3 linked regions of the Alligator mississippiensis genome follow. Each later gene encodes a partner of the first gene's protein in a complex. Links are inferred from orthologs where the notes say so. Each region holds a gene or a part of one and is shown in the gene's direction. Other genes may lie near its edges. The genes, in order: USH1C, ANKS4B and CDHR5.

What was found.
Region 2: USH1C (region 1) and ANKS4B share a complex: the UniProt entries of both Homo sapiens proteins name them as parts of the IMAC/intermicrovillar adhesion complex. The link is inferred for Alligator mississippiensis from reciprocal best matches to the Homo sapiens genes USH1C and ANKS4B.
Region 3: USH1C (region 1) and CDHR5 share a complex: the UniProt entries of both Homo sapiens proteins name them as parts of the IMAC/intermicrovillar adhesion complex. The link is inferred for Alligator mississippiensis from reciprocal best matches to the Homo sapiens genes USH1C and CDHR5.

Annotation. Positions count from the first base shown.
Region 1 is NC_081825.1:192,394,400-192,401,625, forward strand, and holds the start of USH1C (harmonin), read left to right. Parts: upstream 1-4,226; 5' UTR 4,227-4,377; coding exon 4,378-4,413; intron 4,414-7,226. UniProt on the Homo sapiens protein: Anchoring/scaffolding protein that is a part of the functional network formed by USH1C, USH1G, CDH23 and MYO7A that mediates mechanotransduction in cochlear hair cells. Required for normal development and maintenance of cochlear hair cell bundles.
Region 2 is NC_081836.1:46,290,777-46,298,326, forward strand, and holds the start of ANKS4B (ankyrin repeat and SAM domain-containing protein 4B), read left to right. Parts: upstream 1-4,463; 5' UTR 4,464-4,488; coding exon 4,489-4,715; intron 4,716-7,550. UniProt on the Homo sapiens protein: As part of the intermicrovillar adhesion complex/IMAC plays a role in epithelial brush border differentiation, controlling microvilli organization and length. Plays a role in assembly of the complex.
Region 3 is NC_081825.1:183,257,777-183,265,615, reverse strand, and holds the start of CDHR5 (cadherin-related family member 5), read left to right. Parts: upstream 1-4,765; 5' UTR 4,766-4,887; coding exon 4,888-4,954; intron 4,955-5,146; coding exon 5,147-5,322; intron 5,323-5,458; exon of another isoform or gene 5,459-5,678; intron 5,679-7,839. UniProt on the Homo sapiens protein: Intermicrovillar adhesion molecule that forms, via its extracellular domain, calcium-dependent heterophilic complexes with CDHR2 on adjacent microvilli. Thereby, controls the packing of microvilli at the apical membrane of epithelial cells.

The DNA of each region.
Region 1 (7,226 bases):
AGCCAGGAATGATTATGCATGGATAGCTTGAAAGAAGATATGCATGTGCCCACTGATGCTGGGGGGTGGTACAAGAAGACAAGGGAATTATATTGTGGAGAAATCTCTACTTAGAGCAGATTTTAAGGATGACTTCTGGGAAGGTCTGAATGCATTTTATCTTTGTCTATACTTACATTTAAAACGTGTTCAGCTGCTTCCATTGTTGACACTTGATGTCAGCACCGGATAATATTTGCTGTAGTGCCCTCAAAGGCTTTCCTGTTTTATAGTTGAATCATAACATAGAGGGGATAGATTTATTGAGGATTAATCTTCCAATAACTTGGTGGGTGGCATCTTGGTACATTTAGTAAGTTGGAAACAAGGTAACATACCTCCCTATATAATAATATTGTCAAGTTTATAAACCGTTTTTGAGCTATGAATAATATATTAAAATTTAAATCAGAATATAATGGTGTAGGAAGCCACAGTGACTTTTCTCTATGTCTGCTGGTATGTAAAAAATAGAGAGAACTCCCTTGGAGCCTTTAAGTTCCACCTAGTCTGAAAGGGTCAAAGGAATCTCCTTCCCATGGTGTCTTAAGGCTCCAAGGATAAAAGTTGTCCCTAGACTAGTGGTTTTCAACCTTTTTAGACTTGAGAAAACCCCTTCATAGTTTCAAGGCACTGCTCAATAGACTCGGAAAATGCCATTTCTTCGTTTTCACTCATGTTTTGACTACAAAGAAATAACAGAGCAAGTCTTCTATTACAAAGAACTCAGAAAGACCACAACAGGTCAGAATGATCGATAAGCAGTTTGTTTTACACAGTAGATTATGTAGAGCTCGTCTATTAATTCATACATGAACTCTAGCTCATTCCTTGACAGCACCAACATCCTTTGTACTTAACTGAGGTAGGGTACCCATCAAAAATTAGTAAGTGATAATGTAACTAAGGATTGTATCATCATGCATATTCAAGTAAAGTAGCTTCAGTTAAACTTGCATAGCTATCCTTCACTTTGTCATTCTGTAAATTTTGAGTGTTAACGTTCAACCTAAACATTCATTTAACATAGTTAAATTTAACATAGTTTGCTTGTGTCATTTCCTTTCTAAAAAAGCAAAAGGGGAAAACAGAAATCTGAAGAAGAATAGAAAAAAGGAGTGAAAGGGGCCTCAAGAGGTCATCTGACCCCCTGCTTAAATCAGGATCATCTTTGTCTAAACAACCCGAGACAAATCTTTGTCTAAGCTGCCCTTAAAAACTCAGCAATAGAGATTCTACAACCTCTCTAGGTAATTTTTTCCAGCACTAAATCACTCCTACAGTTGGAAAAGTCTCCTTTATATCCAATCTAAATTTCCCTTGATGCAATTTAAGTCCCTTACTTCATCCCTGACAAGGGAAATAAGCAGAATGCAGCGTGGTCCACCTGCACACTCATGTACCACTACCGCTGTTGGCAAGAAGATGGTGTAGGAGTCCACTGTGTAACCTGTGAGAGCTCCCCCACATCAGGGGATCTTAGCCTTGTAAGTCTTGAGTCCTGAGATATTTGTTAGTTATATTAAAAGCCCAGCTCCTAGAGAGATGATTTTACACAAGAAACTTAGCTTTCATGCATGTGTTTGCTGTCCTCTTGGTATGTTGCTAATCCCAAGCATTCAAATCTCTTCAGTCAGCACCCTTTCTTCCCTACATTTACTACTAAGATTGGCCTATATTTGCATAAAACTAAAAAAAAAAAAAAAGGGGGGGGGGGGGACATTTTTATTTGGCTCCTAGTGTAGAAGTCTTTCTACTTTGTATATACAAACCTTAAATGGAAATTGAGATTGCCTGTAATCACCTGAGCATCTGGGTCTTTAAAAAAAATGGAGACTCTCAATCAAATTGTGAGCTGACAATACTCCTATGGATTGCAGAGAGATGCTTGGAAGGGTGATGTTGTAGCCATGATGGCCATAAGAACATAAGAACTGCCATTTATTGGGTCCAACCAATGGTCCCTCTAGCCCAGCATCCTGTCACGCGCAGGCAGAGAGAAGATGCTGAAAGGGAGAATGAACTAGGTACAACCAGGGGTTTTTTTGCACCATTCCTCTCTCACTTGCAGCCTCCAGCATTTAAAGGCTAGGAAGTTCTAATTCAGGGGCTATATCCTGAACTACCTTGCACACTAGCTACTTATACACCTATCTTCCAAAAAATTGTCCCATCCCTTTTTGAATCTGGCTAAACCATCAAGTTCTGCAACATCTGGAACCAATGTGGTCCACACTTCAATTATATGCTGTGTGAAATGAGGTCTACCCTTTAATTACATACTGTTAGTTTGCAGGGGTTTAGGTTGTAGCCGTGTTGGTCTAAGGATATAGGCAGACAAGGTTCCTTGGGTGAATTTGATATCTTTTATTAGACCAACCCAAATGGTTGGAGAATAGTTATTAAGCAAGCTTTCGGGTTCAAAAACCCTTCGTCAGGCTAAGGACGCTGCAGCAGTTGCTGCGTGCTCTTCCTGGATGGAATGAAAAGTAAACAAGCCAGGGGCTGGGCTGGGCTGGGGAGTCAGTTGCCAGGCAGATTGTAATGTATCAAAAATCCAATGTCTGTGTTTAGTCCCTGATCTCTAGTATCCAGCAGGTTGATGAAATGGAGCTCATAGGCTCGTCTCTGGGATGTGTTGTGTAAATTTCCCTTGAGGATCAGGACTGAGAGATTGGAGAGAGAGTGGCCCTCCTGTGAGAAATGTTAGTTTTACATTTACTGCCTTCTAGTTTAATTTTGTGACCCTTAGTTCATGTCTTATGAGAGAGAGTAAATAATAAATCCCTATCTACTTTCTCTTTGCCATTTAATATGTTGTAAACCCTCCTCCTCTCTCGTGTCTCTCTTTCAAAATTGAACAAGCCTGGCCTCTTTAGTTTCTCCTCATGTGGAAATCCTTTCATACCATTCATAATCCTTGCCCTTTTGTAAGGCAAAAAATTATAGTCCAGAAATGAGGCAAGAGGCAAAGATGTTTTAGGGTGATCTCTTTTTTTTTTATTGGCCGATATATGTAGTTTATCCTGAAATCTACCCAGTTGGTCCCATAAAAGGTATCACCCTGACAAATCCTTCCCTTTTGCATAAATGTTTTACACACACACACACACAACACACACACGTACATGTGTTTATGTGTAAAGTATGTGTTTATATATGTATATGTGTATTATATAGTATATTCAATATACATAATTTTAATTATGTGTATGTGTTCTATATTATATTAAATATAAGGCATATTAATATATATAATTATGTTATGTGTATATTTATGTCTATGTGCATATATGGATGTATATATATGTGCATGTGTATATGTTTGTGCAAGTGATTTTATTAAATATGAATCAGATTATATATAATTACATTATGTATGTGTTATACATGTACATGTGTATATATTTATGTGTGTGTATGTTTGTGTGATTTGTATATATATTAAATATAAATCATTACTTATGTTAATGATATATAATTACATTTCGTATATGTGTATATATTTATGTGTCTGTGTATGTTTGTGTGACTTGTATATATTAAATATAAATCATTACTTATGTTGATATATAATTACATTTCGTATATGTGTGTATATATTTATGTGTGTTTGTGTGATTTGTATATATTAAATATAAATCATTAATTATATAGTTACATTATGTGTACGTGTACATATGCATGTGTATATATATGTGTGCATGTACGTGTATATATGATTGCGTGCATGGGTTATTTATGTGTATCATATCAATCATATATACATGATATAAATAATATTAATATTGAATATAATGCAGATAAATAATACGCACACACACACAATATATATATTTGTGTGCATGTGTTATTGATATGCACCCTATTCAATATAAATTTAATTAACCATATATATCATGGGTATATATGTTTGTGTGAATGCTATTGATATATGAAATATAAATCACATTAATTATGTGTTGCGTGTATATGTGTGTGTGTCCATATGTGCGTGCTATTTATATATCTCATATGAAATATAAAGTCTATATATCACCTTTTATTATAAACCCCACCAATCATATTAAATCATGTTAGTGACAGCCTAATAAAACCCATCCATGACACGTGTTAGCGCCCCTCGAGGCGCACGCTGGACTCCGCGGCTGCTCCGGAGCTCGGCGGCCCGGACGAAGCCCCGCGGGGCCCGGCTCCCGCTGCCGGCCGCGCCGGGGCGGGCCAGGAGGGCGGAGAAAGGTGCCCGCTGGCGCCGCTCCCCCTGGCGGCGGCCGCCTCCCCCCGCGGCCCGGGAGCGGCAGGAGCCGGGAGCAGGGCGCGGGCAGGGCGGCAGTGGGCATGGAGCGCAAGGTGGCCCGGGAGTTCCGGCACAAGGTAAGGGCCGGGCCTGGCAGGGCGCTCCGTGGAGCACGGAGGAGCGCGGCTTCGCCTCGGTGCTGCCTGGTGAGGGGGAAGGCGCCTCCCGCCCCGCACCTGGCCCTGCCATGAACTGCCCGGCAAGTGAGCTGGGAGCCAGGCACTGACAAGCCCCCGGCATCCTCCTCCCAAAGAAGGGCAGGCGTTTAAACTGACCAGAACTTGTAAAGAGAAGACAAAAGAAGACTGGGGATGGGGGAAGCATCCCTTGGGGTGCGTAAGGGGGAAGAGCTGCCCTTAGTGAACAAAAGCCGCTTTGTTATGCGGGAAAAGGAAAGAGAAGCAGTCATAGCAGCCAGCTCTCAAAAGGGGAAGTGAAAAGCGAGGCCCAAAGTCCATGGCTCGGCCGTTTGCAGGAGAGCGGCATGAAAGGGCAATGTTCAAAAGGGATTCGGATCCGCCTTGACATTTGTGTGGGCAATGGTGCGTGCAGCCATCGGCAGCAGACGCTCTTGAGAAAGCTAGCCGGGCACTTGGGGCAACAGGTCACTTTGTCCCGGACCCAAGCAAAGCCTCAGCGAAGGCCATTTGTTACTTGGTGTGCAGCCACTTTTGAAAAATAAAGGCTAGCATCTAGTAAGCAAGTTCAGCCTGAAGCCTCTGCCGAAAAAGACTCTTTCTCAAGTTTCCAGTTGAGATTTTTCTTTTTCCTCAACCTTCCTTCAAGATCTTCTCTACTAGGCAACTTGGTGTTTTTTTTACCCGGCTTCTGATGAGAACATAACTGGATGTATCTGTATATTTTTATTGTTAAGCATAAACATGTCCTAAAAGCTTTTAGAAGCAATATCTTAAAATGAGGTAGAGGGACCAAGAAGAAACCTTTATGGAGAAGCAACTCCAACAACATAAATGAAGACTGGATACATTTTGCAATTGAAATTTACGGCTGACTATGGTTGTCCAATAAAAATTTCCACGTCACTAACTGGCGTGTACTTATCACAGGGTTGGGTTAGGTTAGGTAGAGCCTGAGCTTCTGAGTCAATAATTACCATCTTGGGTCTTTTACCCTATTCTCTTTCATGTTATGTATCATTTATAAATAATCTTGGGCATGAAAGTAAAAGCAATGCATGTGCAAGTAAATATTACCTTTTATTAGGAATTCAGGATCTAGCCCTTTGCTTAAATCAGCCTACAACACCAACATATTAGTCTGTTCGTTAGTTCAGAATTTTATATATTTACTCTTTTGAGGTACTGTAATAAAAATATCCAGCCATAGCCTCTGACTTTCTTATCCGTTTTATGCAATTTATATTTGATTTTTGTAATTTTATTATTTTCTCCCTTTCTGCCAGGCAGAATTTATAACAGTTTACTTGCATTTCCCTCTATGTTCCTAGGAAACCAAAAGGTCCATACAGTATCTTGAAAGCTGGTGTATCTGGGCTGTTGCTTTAATTATATACCATTTCAGTTACAAATGTTATATTACGCAGTTCAGATACTGTTCCCATGTTTTTGTTCTATTGAAGAAACAAATGTATGCCAGATGCTAAATTACTCTAGATGGTTGTGTTTTGGGGTTTAATCATTATTATTACCGGAAATTAAAAAGAATTTTGCAATGAAATTAACTGTCTTATTTAAACATCCTCAGGCAAATAATTTACTTAGTAGTATTCTACAATTCAGAGTTACACAACCACTATAAAGATGTCCTTAAATGAATGTGTGCCATTTCTGTATCAGTTGAGTTTATTTTGAATCTATATAAATAGTGTTTTATTTTCTAATGAAAATATCTACATTTATTTTTCATGTCATTCTCTGTAACTGGTGTAAGGTGATATGTCTCTTGAGACGCACAATACTGTGACTCTTGACCCTTTGGGTAAGAGCCCACATAATCTTGTAGTTCTAAATGACTTGGGTTAAGTAACCAGGCTATATATTATTTGTACAAAGTCTCCTTAAAATTTATTTATTTTCCAATCTAGGTATTTTTTCATAGTGTAAAATTGAGGAGATGTTGTAACGGCTTGTTCATCTCTGGTTTGTTTGTATCCTCCTAGGCTTAAAAGTATAGTTAATGAAGTTAAGGAAAGAACAAATTTTGCATTTATGATGTGTGTTCATACTTACATGTAGTATCCTTTGTCTCCACATCTGTTTATTCATAATGCATTTGGATATTAAACCTATATTGACTGCAGAGATAGAAACAGGAACTATTAGATTGAACTAAACCAGTGGTCAGGTATTCTGTTTCTGATAATAGCCAGTACCAGAATCTTTTAAGGAAGGGGAAAGAAACTGCAACTGTAGTATAACTTGTCAAAAACCTGTCCATAACAGCACCTAACACTTTCCAGAGGCTAGCTCACATCCTGAAATAGGAGTAGTTTATATTCTTTTTATATTTTTGTCTCCCATGTAACTCTGGATGTTCTCTGTAGTCAGATAAATGTCTCCTTAATTAAAATCTTCCAAACTTTTGTCTCTAGTGTCTTGTGGTAGAGTAGTGATTCTCAACTAGAGTGTCGTAGCAGCCTGGGGTGCCTTGAGATCCTTTCAAGGGTGCCCCAAGGTACCACTCAATGTTAGTACTATTAGGCGTACAAATATGATTCACAAAATAAAACCAGAGTTTTTAAATAGGAATTCATAATGTTAAAAACATTCTGACCTGTTGTGGTCTTTCTTAGCTCTTTGCAGCAGATGACTTGCTTCATTATTTCTCTGTAGTCAAAAAACAAGTGAAAACTAGAAGTTGGAATTGTCAGAGGGGTGCCTTGAGTCTAAAAAGGTTGAGAGGCGATGTG
Region 2 (7,550 bases), on another chromosome or scaffold:
AGAATTGCATAGTGCAAGAGGATGTAAGTTTGTGGCTGGACCTTCTGAAAAGAAATAATGAGGCACCACTTCCAGCTTATCTTACTGTATTTATGATGATTTTAAGAGGCTCCTATTTGTCTGGTATGTAACTGTATGAACTGTCTATCCTTGATTTATTAGAGACATTCTCCATATGGACTTTGATAGGTGCCTCCTCCTGATTTACTCTGGTTTTGCCTCAGTGGTTCCCTTGATCTTCGAAGGGCAACTCCTCCGAAGCTTTGTGTTTTTCTTGGTTGTTAATCAATTTTTGATACGTTCCAACTTAATAGAAATGGATAACCTCCTATTAGCGAGGAAGGTAATTCAATCAAAATTGGGACTTTCTGATAACCAATAATGAACAGTTTGATTAACAGGATTTTCCTGTTCATTACTGCTTGGGATTCTCTCTTGATTTACACAACTACAGGAATGCTTTTGAAGATGCTGAGCTAGAGGATGTGAAAGAGGAATGAAGCAGCTAACAGGAGAAATCATTCTGACAAGAGCTGCTGCTGTGCCCCGCTGATCGCCTGGTGAATGGATCCACACCTTGAGAAGCTGGCAAGGTTGAGACCACCTCTTTGCCTGTAATTAGTGAGAAACTATCACTTTTACAGCTAAATGTACTGGATTTTGCTTTGCTTTAGGCTCATTTAACAGTCAATACCTGTAGTAAATAATGCTTTTCTGTCATCCGTTGAATGAGTTGTCCTTCCAATCCTTTCTTTATACACTAGTCCTGAATCCCATTTCACTTAACAAGCATGAGCTAAACCCATCGATTTCAAATAGGAACTCATAGTGTCAAAAATAATCTGACCTGTTGTAGTCTGAGTTTTGTGCAAAAGAAAAAACGCTCTATTTTTTTACTGCAGTTAAAAAGGAGTGAAAGCAAAGAGCTGGCATTTGCAGAGGGGTTCCTTGAGTCTAAAAAGGTGAGAACCAATGTGCTAAAAAAACCCAAATATTGTGTGTGGGGAGGAGGACAAACGTAAGTGAATCACTGCTTCTGCTACCACAAAAACCTCTACATGTGCTGTTACATATTCCATGTGCTATGCTATGAGGAACACAGATATGTCAGGCTTTGGGCAATACCACTAAGGATTTCCTTAGATTCTACCTGAGTAGAAGTTATTGCTGGACAGTCTCAGCCAACATCTTGGATGTGGATTCATGCTCTAACCTCTCTAACTCCTAATGAGGCTGAGTCAGGGATGGTCAAGATTTCATATAGTACAAGGGACTTGAAGGACTGCAGCAAGAGTTTTGCCTGTGCAATGCAAGTAGGACCACGTATTGTTACATTGTCATTGATGGATGTAGCTGTAATTACTAAATGCAACTGGATTCATTAATCTTTTAACCTCTTAGTATTAACAGATCTCATTATACAAGCTGAGGGGGCTTACTTACCTCCTTTCATATGACATTCCCCATCCTGAACTTGCCATTTACAAAAGTGTAGTCAGGAACTAGTGTGCTATACCTCATGCAAAATAGATGGTACAATAACACCTCTGCCTTTCTAATTGGCATGATGCAAATCAGGGTTCTGAATTGCCTGCAACAAAATATCTAACTAACAATTCCATGGTCTTAGAATCCGACCATGTTGTGTATCTGCCATATTATATCTGTAAGAGCTAGGAAAACAATAAGCAGAGATGTTGAGAAATCCGTTAACAAATCAAGACCGTTAGTTAAATAATTCATTAGTTTAGAACAAGACATCCAACATCAGTGGAGTTTCTCCTGAGCCTGATGAGACATTTCAATTTGAAGTGGAATGGTTCTGAACTTTTTTTCAACACAAAAAGAAAAGCTCCATTCTAATTGCTCAGGAGACTTTGCAATTTTGAACTCGACTGTGAAAAGAAAATCTCCATTCAGGCTGACAAATTTAGCTCATTCAATGTTGAATCATTTATTATGTTTTAAGCTCTGGTTTTAAGATGGGGACAAAAACTAACAAACACCAGGGCTTTAGAAATAGATGGAAATGTGGTTTGATCTCTCTGTGCTGCCTGTTTTTGCGACAATCACAATAAGCCTTGTGACGTCCTGTACTTTCTTTCTTCCTGAAGCAGGTTTTGCTTTGCATTCAATTAAAATGTGCAACAAAAACAATTTCTTTTGAACATCAGAAGAAAAAAACATTCTTTTAAAAGTGGATCCTTTCATTTTAAGCAATAAAGATTACTTAGAGAATACTGTTTCTTACTGCAGAGGCTAGTAAATTTGTTTTTATAGGAGAAAATGATTTTGGAGAGAAAGGTAGAAAATTCTCTTTTGCTATTTCCCAGTTTTAAAACCGGCCAGGGATGTAGCTAACAATTTGAAATGCTGTTGCACAGAAGACAGTAATGACTCATCTCATGCTATACTTATGAGCTCATAAAATCACTAACAGCTTACAGCTATCCAATATCTACTAGCAGTATCTATTAAATTAGATATCCATGACAGTATTGAATACAGTAACAAAAATGCCAGAGCTCAAGGAATCTTGAATCCAATAAATTATAGCTTAATGCAGTATCATATATAGCATACGCTTCCATACAGCTGTGTTTTTTCTAGCATTTCCAACTTTGATCCAATAGCAAGGAGAACAGTGAATACAGTCACTGGAAAGGCAAGTCAATTTATTTTAAGTTTTTGGAAAAAAAACAATTTCTGGTAATTGATATTCACCCAGGAGGATGAAGAAAGGGGCATGGGTGTGTCTGGATACCATGTTCTGTTATAACACATGGTACACATGAACAACCAAGGTGGGTAGTAGCCACCCTGATCATACATTATTGCAATAGGTGGGTGGACTGCTATACAGGGCATAACAACATAATTTTGTCTTCAATACTTGTTCAGTTTAAGAGTGTTTATTACGGCATGAGTCTGGTCCTCTCTCTCTGTCAACACATGCAAACCTTGGCTCCTGAAGATTTCAGCCCCATCTGAAAAGATATTTGAGGTAGGAAACCTATTTGTAGGGGCATCACAGATGTAATATGGAAGGGATTGTGGAAAACAAATGAGACTTCACTGCATGCAGCAGTTATACTGATTCAAGTAAATACTGTTTTGTAATTGCTACTTCCACTCTAGCTGAGAGCATACCAAAGAATAAAAGGCTCCAAACGTCAAATCCTGTTAGTGCTAATTCTTGCCTGCATGTTGTGTAAAGTACTGGTTAAAGCAGTGAAATGTATAAAACACCACCGGGGAAAAAATAATGCTAAATGACAGGTATATTGATTGTAACCAAGACAATAGAAGGGCAATTTGGGGCTTTTTATTAAACAATCAGTCTTCCCACATCGATTTCTGCTTAGCTACTGCTTCAAAACTGACCTTTTACATTGACTTCAGTCTAGAATTCTTCTGTATCTCCAGGTTAGAATTTGGGCCCCATCCCGCAGGCTTTTCCTCGCACAGTGATCTTTATTCATACAAGTCAAGCCAAAGGTGCACTCAAGCCTAATGGCCCATAAAGCTAGTGTGATTCTAGCACTCCCGCTTCTGTAGCCAATACCACACAGGGCACAATGTGGTTGCCATCACATTTGGCCATTTTTGGCTCCCCAGCCTGAATGACCATGTTCCATTTGCAGCTGGGTCAATTGGACTGCAGCTCTAAGCAAATGTCCAGAAGGGGTCTCAAAACGTACGTTTCTTGAACCACAGTGAGATACTTTAATGGCTTTTCCCATCATACCCCTACTGTATTCTTACAGGCCATCCAGTTAAAATTAGGGGGACCATACCCCCAAGGGGAAGACCTCTTATTATGAGGATGGGGGACCGACTGGGAGGCCAAGCCCAGGACTATTGAATTTTATTTCTAGCTCTGCCACTAAATCACTTTGCTACCTTAGGCAAGTCATTAAAACTCTCTGCATCTCCCATTTGCCTGTCTGTAAAATGGGGATAGCAATACCTATTAGCATATTTCATATATGTAACACCCTTTAAGATCCTGAGATGAAGTGAGCTGTATGGTGAAAAATATCATTCATTTGGTTTTATTTTCACAGACAAGGTGAATTTGTTGTAATTAGCTAAGAATAAAAGACTGCATAGTCTGAAGTGTAGTGGCTTGTAATGTGTTCTGTTTCACCCACCCAGGGTTGGTTTTAACACAGAGTAGAATCTTGCTCATGCTGAAATCAATAGCAAAGCTCCCTTTGACTTCACCCCAACTGTGTAAGGAAGGGGAAGAGGGACATGTGGTTAGAGAAAGAATCCCCCTTAATTTTTAACTGTAAAATACTGGAGTTAAAAGCAAATGGACAGTCACTTCACAGAAAAGACACCTGTATAGCAGCTGCTTTAGTGAGGCGGTGTTCCAGGCAAGTTGTGTACTGGGATGAACTTTGCCTTTTTATTTCAATCCGGAAGCTGACATCTTGGCTTGTAATTATTAACTAACTATCCTGATAGCGAAAGTGTGGCTGCATGCACCTGCTAGAACTCGGAGTGAAACAGTGCCCCAGGACGCTGCTGTGGGATCTACTGAAAATGTCGACCAGGTATCACAAAGCAGCTGCTGACGGCAATCTGGACCTTTTGAAAGAAGCGACCAAAAAAGATCTCAATACTTCAGAAGAAGATGGGATGACACCCACCCTTTTGGCAGCTTATCACGGGCTTCTAGAAGCTCTGGAAGTCATATGCAGCAGAGGGTAAGTATAACAGGCCTCAACCTCTCAAAGCCGATGAAACAAAATTACAATTATCATGCAGCACCTTTTAATGCAAATACTGGTGCAAATGGGCAGTTTCTTGCTTTCTAAATTACTTGTTTTCTTGTGGGGGCTTTCAATCTTTATCATGTGTAGCTGCTTCATTTTTTTTCTATTGGTTGAGCCCAGTGGTATTCAACCGGCAGGCTGGATCGGGCAGAGAGAGTGAATCAGTCCTGTGCCACTCATCAGGTCCGCAGAGCCAGATGGATGGGGTGCTACTGGTTTAGGCCATAATCAAACAAGCTGCTCTGTACAAATCAGGCCCCGGTGCACTAGCATAGACTTACAGGCTTCTATGGCGTCTGAGCAATGTATAGTTTTAGAAACTAGGATGCAGGACTGCTGCTAGCGAGAGCTACAGGAGCTGCCATTTACTTCAACGGAAGTTGGAATACACCCTTAACTTTATAGTTTTGTAAATTAAAGTACATTTAATTAAAGTGTATTTAATAGCCTCCAGATAATTTTCAGAAGGAAACCAGAAAGAGCTGAATCTAAAAATGTGATTTTTCTGCTCTTGATAGCATTAGAAACTGAAGTTATGCCTGAAAAACAAATCTGTGCTTCTGCTGGAGCTGGTAAAATTTCAGGAAAAAAATGCAAAGGAATTAAATATAGACTAAAGGAGGTTTCTCTGATGTAGTTTTTCCTCACATTAATTATTAAATGCACCAGCACTATAGATAAATTATAAAAAGGTCATTCCCCTACTCTGGATTGCCCACTGTTTCCTCCAAGTCTTCTCTTTAGGCTGTCATCCTAGGGGTCTATTTCTTAGTGGAGTCTTCCACTGGGGAAAGAAGGGGACTAGAGCATTTTCACTTGGGGAAACCATCAAAGAGCAGAGGGCAGAAAACTAAGGAAAGATAAATACTTCTTTAGTTGTGTTTTGCCCTTCTGCAAAAATAGAAAAAAAGTTCCCTGTACATGGTAAGTGTAATAGGTAGATGCCCCTCTTAGCTTCTTGATCTAAGGTGTGGCTATAGAAACACCTGACTGCCAATAAAAGAGACCTTTAGACTATATAGCTATTGCTATAACCTTAGGAAAAGCAAAAAACAGAAGCCAGATTCTAAATTGGTACAAAACAATATGTAATTCCAGTGATGTTGCTGAAGACATTGGAGATCTGGCTTATAATTTAGGAAAAGATAAAAAGGGAAAATTAACTAGTTAAGAAAAATAAATAGAGCAAGATAACGTGTTCCCAGGTTCCACGGTCTTATATACACCAGTGCCAATCACAAAATAGGGCACAGAGCACAAGGATTTCCACAGAGCTGTATTCTCTATTCATTAGTTACACTAGTTTATTTAAAATTGGTATCAGCTTGGTACAGGACAGCATCCAAAAGCTTCAAACCTTTATTACTGATGATTTCCTGAAAGCTTTCATTTTAACCTGAGACTCCTTAACTTTGAGAGTCAGAGAAACTGGTCTAAATCTCAGCAATGTTTGTTTGGGTCTTTGGAAGAAGCTGCATTTTGGAAGATTTTCAAACAATGCCCCTGGCTGATGGGGCTTTCAAGAAAAAAAATTGACTTATTATTTCTAATACGTGCCTCTTTTCCTTAAAGCAAAAGGAAGGAACACCCAGTAAGGGAATGACATGGGACCCGGGAAAACTGGGTTCAGGTCTGTGCTCCACCCCAGAACTCCTGTGTAACCACAGGCAAGGCACATTAGCTGCACAAAAGTCCTTGGGTATGCAAGTGTGATTAGCATAAGGGATTTCTAAGACCATTCAGCTGCCCCATTACCATGGACACACCTAAACTTCTTACTTATGTATGTATGAATACATTTGATTTATATACTGCCCTTCCAAAAAAGCTAAGCTCAGGACCACTTTCAATCCAAAACAAAACGACACATAAAAACAGAACAAAGTATTACGTTGGTCAGTGTGACAAACTAAGCCTTCCCCAATCCTCCCACTCCCTGCCTCGCATCCAGGAGTCCCCTCCCCCTTCCCATAACGTCCCTCTGAAGCTCATCCCTCTCTCACCTGGCGGGGTTGTTCCCCAAACCCGCTCATTCTCCCCTTCCTCCCAAAGAAGCACATTATTCAGTTTATAACCAGAAATACAATGCCTGCCCCTGCCCCATCCCTGCTGAAATGTGATACCAAAGGGGACCACTGAGTGTTGCCCTTTGGTAGCACCTACCCAAAGGCACCCTGCAGTCCCCTTAAAGCCCACTAGCTGGCTGGGCTCTTCCCCTTTCCAGCTCAGGCATCTGCAGAGTCAGTGTCTGCTCCAAGTCTCAGTCCTCCCCTACTCTGGACTTGGCTTCCAGAGCAGGTGGCAGAGAGATCAGCATCCCCTGAACTGTGGGTTGCGGCAGTCCATAGGAAGCCTGGGAGGCCAGCAGAAAGAGTAGTCTTTAGCCAAGGGCAGCATGCAGTCCCTATGAATCTCTGCTTTTCAAATCCCAGGAGTATTTTGGGGGAAGGGTTAGGAATAGCAGTTTAAGCAGCAGCTGAAGAAAAACTATGGCTTCTGCCTGAACATTACCTAATTATAGTAGACATGGAGACTTAGGCCTTTTTTCTTAATAATTTACTTATTACCCATTGTGAAAGTTGCTGTTATTACCACACAAACTATGTCCTGAGGCAGTCAAATGCAGAGGTTTCCCACTGTTCCTGCATTTTACATCAAAGAAAGAAAGGCTGATCTCAGTAGCTTTTAAAATACCGTGGGTGAAATCCCAGTCCCGCTGAAAGCAGTAGAAGTTTTGTCATTGATGTCATGAACTATAATCTAGAG
Region 3 (7,839 bases), about 9.1 Mb from region 1:
TAAAAGGCAATCAGGTTGGTCTGACGTTGTAGGGTCTGACATTGTAGTCTAAGTGCACCAACTGGCACGAATCATTCGAAAACAAATTCAGAAGGAGAAAATTCATAAGCAACTTTTACTTCCCTATCCACATTAAAAAAAACTCTAATGTGCCTGGCAGAAAATCTAACACTCGGAGTTGGTGGCCCCAACTGCCTTGAGTACAATAGCCAGGACAAAAGAGTAAGTGGTAGCAATGGAAAAGGTTTTCCTAGCTACCAAGGAGGGTAGGTGTTGCAAAAATAAATAAATAAATAAAATCAAATCTGGTCACGTCAAGTTGATGTGGGGGCTGAGGGGGATCCAGGAAAGGGTCGGCTGGGTTGTGGCCACAAACCCAGCACGTACAGATGGGTACTTTCGACCGCTGGAGTAGAATTAGGCACAAACGCGTACTGGTTCAAACAAAGATGGCTTTACTTACACTGTCGAGATGTACAGCGTAGGAAGAAAGTTAACTTCAAACTTCAGTTTCAGTTTAACCGAGGAGCTCTGATAAGACGAGATATCTTTAATACGAGCATTCAGGACATGGGGGTACGTCGGGGTCGGTCGGCGATGGGGAGTCGGCGGCAGTTGATCAGTCTGCCATGTTCACTCCGAGATGGGCGCGGAGTTCTCCAACTTGGGCGGAAACCGCTCCAACCTTTTATACGGCTAGCGAGCCAATTGCTAGTCGCCACATAGGAATAATTTAGAACCGGCCAAGTGAATTTGCATATGAGTGGCGAGAACCTTTCCACGCCGGGGCTCTCCACTGTGCCGAGAAATTCCCTCGTACAAAATCTCACCGTGCCTTGTGCTAGAAAGTTCCACTGTGCTGAGGCACTCAACCACTAGGCTCTGACAGTTGACTGAATTCCCAGAAACCTTTTCGAGACAATTCAGTTAAGAGCTGGCAATAATTGTGGCCTAAAGTTAACCCCAGTAAAATGAATGTCAAGGAACATCCAGAACAATGGAACAATGGAACCAGAAATTAAAACAACGTTGTGATCATTGCAACTAATTAGTGTGGGAACAGGAAAATATTCCAGGTGCGTTAAGGCTATGCTATTATAAAGCTTCCAAAATATTATATAATCAAGCTTGGCTAGCCTTAGTAATGGTGACATCACTAAAGGTTTAAATAGTAGGGCTGTGAGAAGCTTCAGTCACCAATTTGATTCACCGGAGATTCAGCCCAATTTGGTGGCCAAATCTCCAAATACAAATCAAATCAGGAGACCCTTTAATCTCTCCGAATTGAATCAGAACCCTCCAAAATTGATTCAGAGAGATTCAATGATTCAGACATAGACACAGCTTTAAATGTTTTTTCTACATATCTCAAGGTACCAGGCAATTTGTGAATGCTGGGAAGGATGGAGCGCCCCATAGGAGTGCAGGGGAGTCTGCAGCATGCTCAGTGGTGCACCTGGAAGTGGACCAGAAGTGCTTCCGGTCCACTTCCAGGTCCGCCGTGGAGCGTGCAGGGGACCCCCTGCTCTGCCCCTTAGCTTGGCGACTGGTGCCTCCTGGGTCTGGTGGGGGCACCTGTGCACTTGACAGCAGACCTGGAAGTGGACCAGAAGTACTTCTGGTCCACTTCCAGGTCCGCTGCCAAGCACCTGGGGGGGCCCTCTCCATGTTCCTGTAGGATGCTCCATCCACCCCATGCTCCATCCACTCCACCATCCACGAGCCGCACCTGGTACCTCGAGGTATGTAGGAAAAAAACCCAACATATAAAGCTGTGTCCATGGCCGAATTGCTGATTCTCTGAATCAGCATCGAATCTTCATATTTGGATTCAGACGAATTGAATTGAGACAGTGATGCAAATCAATGAATTGATCACTGTCCCCCGATTCAGGCCGAATCCAAATCAAATACAACCCATTTTGCACACCCCTATTAAATAGCCTAAGCAAGTAAAATCACCATTCGCTGTTTGAATCACCTTCATGGATTTTTGAGGGAGGGACCGGCATGGATTTCTAAAGGAAGACCAAGCCTTCAGGTTTGGAAGATCGCAACCCAGGAAGCTCACCCAGTACGACTGACAGAGGGGAATGCCTCCTGAGTAACAGCTCTAAACAGACTGTGATGCGGTAAGGAGCCACGTTAACACACTCGGTTTTTGACAACTGCCTGTTTATATTTTGGCAATCCCAGTAAAGTTGACTACTTGTATACTGGCAACCCCAGTTGTTTAGTTGCTTTGTGTTTAATGGATAATTTTGTAATCAGTAAAGCTTCTAACTAATTATCAAACAAGTGCTGATAGTTAATCACATTGTTCTCCTTGTCCACAAAAGAGTAGGGCTCAAATTTCAGCCCAACACCCTGCCACCCCAGCGTTGCCAGTGCCCTTCGCTCCTGACCTGCAGCCCCGTGACCCCCCAACACTGGGATGGGGCTGCCACCTCGTGCCAGTTCAAAGCACCCTCTGGTGCACAAAGGGGTGAACTACAAAAAAGCTGCAGCGCCATCGGTGGACAATGAAGGTCATCTTTGAGTGCTTTTGTGTTTGCACGCAATGAATCCATAGCTACGGCGATGTAATCGGTGGTGACACAAACTAAACTATGTCCCAGGAGTTTTATTTTAATGCGCTGAAAAGACTTTTAAAAACTGCAGGAAATCCCATTCGTGCAAGCAAAACCAGTTGCAGTGTCCTAAAGGGCAAATCTCGTGGCGTGTACATGTAGTCCAAGAAGCTAACTCTGAAAGTGGTATCTGGCTTGCTCCACTGCTAAATTAAATCATACAAAGAAGCCAAGCTGCTGTGTGACCTTATCACCCGAGCAATCAATACTTTCAAATATCTTTTGTCAATATGTCACACAAAGAAACATCAAAAGGAGTCAGAGCTTACTGACACTCACACATCCTGAAAGAGGGAAATGGGGTATAATATAAGCTTTGCAAACCTTCAAGGCTGAGGCACTAGAGTGCTGCTGCAACTTTTCTCTTAGGAAAGACTTCCCATGATCAAATGAAACTTTGATGTCAAGTAGGGAAAAGAAAGAATCATTTCCAGGATCCCTTTTGCAGGATGGAGGACCTATGGATTTTGTCTGAAATCCAGGCCTCAAGGTGCTTGCTGCTGTATGTGCAGAGACACATGCACAGATGTGTGTGTGCACACATACACGCACGGAATAAGGAACAGTCTCTATACCTAAGAGCTTATAATTTAAATAAACCTGACAAACAAAATACAACATCCCCATTTCACAGGTAGAAGAACTGAGGCACAGAGTGACTTAATTAAAAGGACACACCAAGAATCTGTGAGAGCCAGAAACAGAACTCAGATTTCCTAAGTCCCAGTAAAAACACACAGACCCAACCTTCTTCATTTTTCTGTTCTAGCTCCCCAAAATGGCTCTTTAGCAAGGCGTGTTCATCAACAGACTATATACACTCTTCTGCTACAGTCCCCAGATTTTCATCTTCTTCCCCAATGACCCTTTTAATAAGATGTTTAGCACCTATTCCTCCACTGTACCTTTCTAGTTAAATAGTATCTCAGTAAAACCACCCCTAGTTCAGTTCTGACATGGCTTATGATCATACGGAATACACATCAACTCCTAACTTCTTCATGCTCCAGTAGCTTGAAAGAGAGACAAAAGGAAAACCTCCTTGCAACAGAATTATAATACTTTGACTTTTGCACTGTTTGTTATCTGTGAATAGCAGAACACTTTGCACCCATGGTGCCCTCTGTCTTTACAAATGACAAGAAATGTTAGCTGCCCGGCTAGAAGTTCCTCAAAGGACTCCAATCTTCACAAAGTGCTGATCCCTTTGGAAAATATATATCTATATATATCTAGCTATATCTATATAGCTATATATCTAGCTATATAGATATAGATATATCAGGCTGTCATAGGGGTTGGATGGCCAAAAATCTGTGTACCAAACACCAGTAGTCATGTTTTTAAAGCATAGGCTTCCTAATATCCCTCTGAAAAAGAAACATTTTATAGAAGAAAAAAGTAAGGCACAGATGACTTGCACAAGGGCACAGGAGACATCAGTGGTAGGGACAGCAAGAGTATGCAGGCATGCTAATGCCTAGCCTGAGCAGAAAGCAGGAGTTCTACCCCCTGGTCCCAGACCATTCTACCTTCTCCTTCTATTGCAGTTGTTACGCTTTACCTTTAGCTTCCAGTGAGCAATGCAATATATAGTCTGATTAGGAGCAGGGAAAGAGCAAAGCCAACAGGGAGAACAGGGCTTGCGCCAGAACAGAGCTGACCAAACACAGCTGGCATAGAATAATGCATGGGGAGAAGCAAGCTAAGGTTGGCCTGAATCACTATTAAGTCTACCAAGAAATATTCTCATCAAGAACAGGTACGTACGAGGTGCAAAGTTAACCCACATCATTAGCTTGGTATATATCGTAGCACACACACTTGGTAATTATACGGTGCCCATGACTGGAGAGGTCAGGACAAGCAGACAGCTTTTTAGGGGTCAACAAGCACCCTGCTTCCACACTTATTCGGGGACATTCTGCATCTAATCTTAAAAGATGTGGAATTTCTCACAGTCCCTGCAAGAGTTAAGAATCAGAGGACAAAGAGCCACAGAAGAGCTGCGGCGTTTACTGCTCATCACACCCAGTACCCAGGTACCGGTAAATGAATCATAAATGATTCATCCAATAGGGCAAGGAGGCAAAGGTTGAGCGGCAACAGTTGGGAATTAGTGCCAGCCATGCAATGTTCTTCACCACCATTCGGAGGAGTAAATGGATGACAAAGTACTGCTGACTCCAAGGGAGGAAAGAGGCAGGAGTGCTCCACCCACAGCCAGGGTTTCCCTTTGCTTTCTGCCGTCTGCGCCATGGCTGTTTCTCATCGGCTCTCTGCCTACGTACTCTTTCTGCTGCTACCCCTAATACAGAGCCAAGGTAAGTCAATGCCTTTGGAGTCCGGATGGATGAAAGTGAAAAATCTCCTTGGTTGCCTACCTCAGGATGTTGAATGCCTTCTTCCAAGGCATCAGCCACAGCTGGAGACTAGCTGCTGGAGTAAATGCACCTTAGATCTGATCCAGTTTGGCAATTCCTGTGTCTGACGGAAATATTGTGCCTTTTTTTCAGGATGCTCTGTAAATAATGCCAAGCCATTGGTACGAGAAAATAACTCTGCTGGCTTAGTGGTGACCAACATTACAAAGGCTGCTGGTATCACAGTAACAATCAGTCCCACAGCGGATGGAAATTGCTTCTCCATTCGTGACACAGAACTGATTCTAAGCTGTTCCTTGGACTATGAGGTAAGTTATTAAATGAAAAAAGGCAAATATCAGCTAATTTAACATTGCAAAACACTTTCTATAATGTACTTTTTACTGTGACAGTCCAATGGCTCTGTCAGTCGTAGCAAGTGAAGCTTTTTAAAATGGCGCCTACCTTTTCAGTTTCTCTGAGCTTTAATAGCCTAAGCAGGGAACCTGCATGTACAAGTCTGGCCCAACTACTGTCTTGTTAGAAATCCACTCCAGGAAGGGCATAAGGCATGTTGCTTAATGGAGCAAGATATGGGTTCTTAAGTGGAAATCTGTCGAGTCAGTGGAGTTCTGAACCCAAGCAGCTGGTCCATGTGCACGTCTGGTCTGTGTGCATTTGTCAAATAAAGCTAGCATGTAAAAAAAAAAAAATCCTGTTCCCTTCCACGGCCTTTCCATTTTGAAATGTAAATGTTCAATCTTGTTAACTATTTCCCAGCTAATTAGTTTACGATCCATCCACTGGGATCATGCCAAGCTCTCCTCCTCAGGAGTCAAGGGTCAGTTTCCTACCCAGCTATAACTCCCCCGTCCTGTACAAGCTTTACCTTGCTCCCAGCAACAGCTTTTCCAACATAGCCATGTTTTTTCAGATGTAAAATTAAACTCTGCGGCATGTTGCACAATAATAAATTGAATCTAAAAATAAACACCTGGGGCCCCCCGTCTGTATTTGCTGTATGATTCATTGTCATCCCATTCAATTAAAATCTCCATTTTAGCTTGCCTGAATCTACTTCAGATCTCCCTGTAGACAAAATTCCACATTACAGCCAGGGGGGCATCAGTTGTACGGGGGAGTTAGACAAGCAATTGGTCCTCATAATGGATGTAATTGCAGCAATTGGTATCTGTTAAACAGAAAACCTGCAAAGCTTCTAAGACCGCTCGCTCTCTCTCTCTCTCACACACATCCACCATAGAGAGCTCCTCAGTTCACTCTCATATGTAAGGATGGTCTCTGATCTGTTTTATACCTCTGTAAAGGTGAAACAATTTTTTGGAAAACGGTGGAATTATTTCAAGTTGGTAGTCATGGTACTGAGATCAGAAACTAATTGGAAACCTGTAAAAGGAAAGGAAAAATCCCTATCATTTTTAATTTAACAAAAGGATCCTGGAGGCCCTAACTGATCAAAGCACGTATTCTCTTATTTTACTTGAAGCATAGGCTTTCTTTAAGTACATTAGAGGAAGAAAGTCTGCCAGAGACTTAGTTGGGCTACTGGATAATGAGGGTGTAAAAGAAATGCTTAAAGAGGACAAGGCTATTGTTGAGAAATGGAAGTTATGCACAGATGTAGCATTTGTCACGGGAGAAAGTCTTTTGTTCTGGGACTGTACAGAAGTACATGTCTGCTGTCCTGCTTCAGGTCCCTCTGCAGTAGGCAGATAAAATGTACTAACACTTTTTTCCCCAGGATACCCTATTGTACATCTGTACGATTATGACAGTTCATTCCAGTCTCTTGGGCTGTGTGCTCTTGCTGGCCACCTACTACTGAAAAGGCAGCAATGCATCTTGGAAAGGCTACATGTGTATATGACTGTGCAGCTCCTGTTTTGATTCAAGTCATACCTCTGGGTAATCAGTCCTGAGTCAGAACAACACATCTGTATACAGCCTAAATGAGTTCCTTGTATCAGCCTTACTGGGGAAGATGGTGGGTAGATTCTCTCACCAGAGCCCAGGGGACAGGTCAGTAGAACTGATTCACATTGAGGTATCAGTAGATGACATTTTAGAAGATATTAATAAACTAAACAGGAAGAAATCACCAGGACCTGATGGTATTTACCTTAGAGTCTTGAAGGAGCTCAAATCTGAAATAGCTGATCTACTTGCTAAATATACAATCTGCCACTAAAAACAGCTTTGGTACCAGAGAACAGGAGAGTTGCCAATGTAATTTCAATTTTTAAAAAGGCTCCAGAAGGACTTGGGGAAATACATCTAGCTTGTGTTCCTGGCAAAATGGTAGAAGCAATAATTAAACAAGTATTGTTCAGCATATGGACAAGCAGGCCTTGCCAGGGAGAAATCAGCCTGGTTCTGTAAAGGGAGGTTATATCTTACCAACCTGCTAGAGTTCTCCAAGTGTTTCAACAAGAATGTGGATCAGGGAAATCCAGTAGTCCAGTTGATATAGTATATCTGAACTTCCAAAAAACCTTCAACCAAGTCCTACATCAAAGGCTCTTAAAAGTAGGTTGACATATGATTAGAGGGAATGTCCATTTGTGGATCTGAAATTGGCTTAATGATAAAAAAACAGAAAGTAGGGATAAACAGTCAATTTTCAGAATTAAAAGAAGTAAACAATGGGGCCCTGCAGGGATCTGTGTTGGGACAAGTGCTGTTTAAAATATTTGTAAGTGACCTGGAAAAGGGGATCAGTAGTAAAATGGCCAAGTTTGCCAATGACATAAGATTATTCAGAATGGTAAAGGCCAAAGTGGACTGTGAAGAACTACAGAAATTTGTCATAAAATTGAGCAAATGGG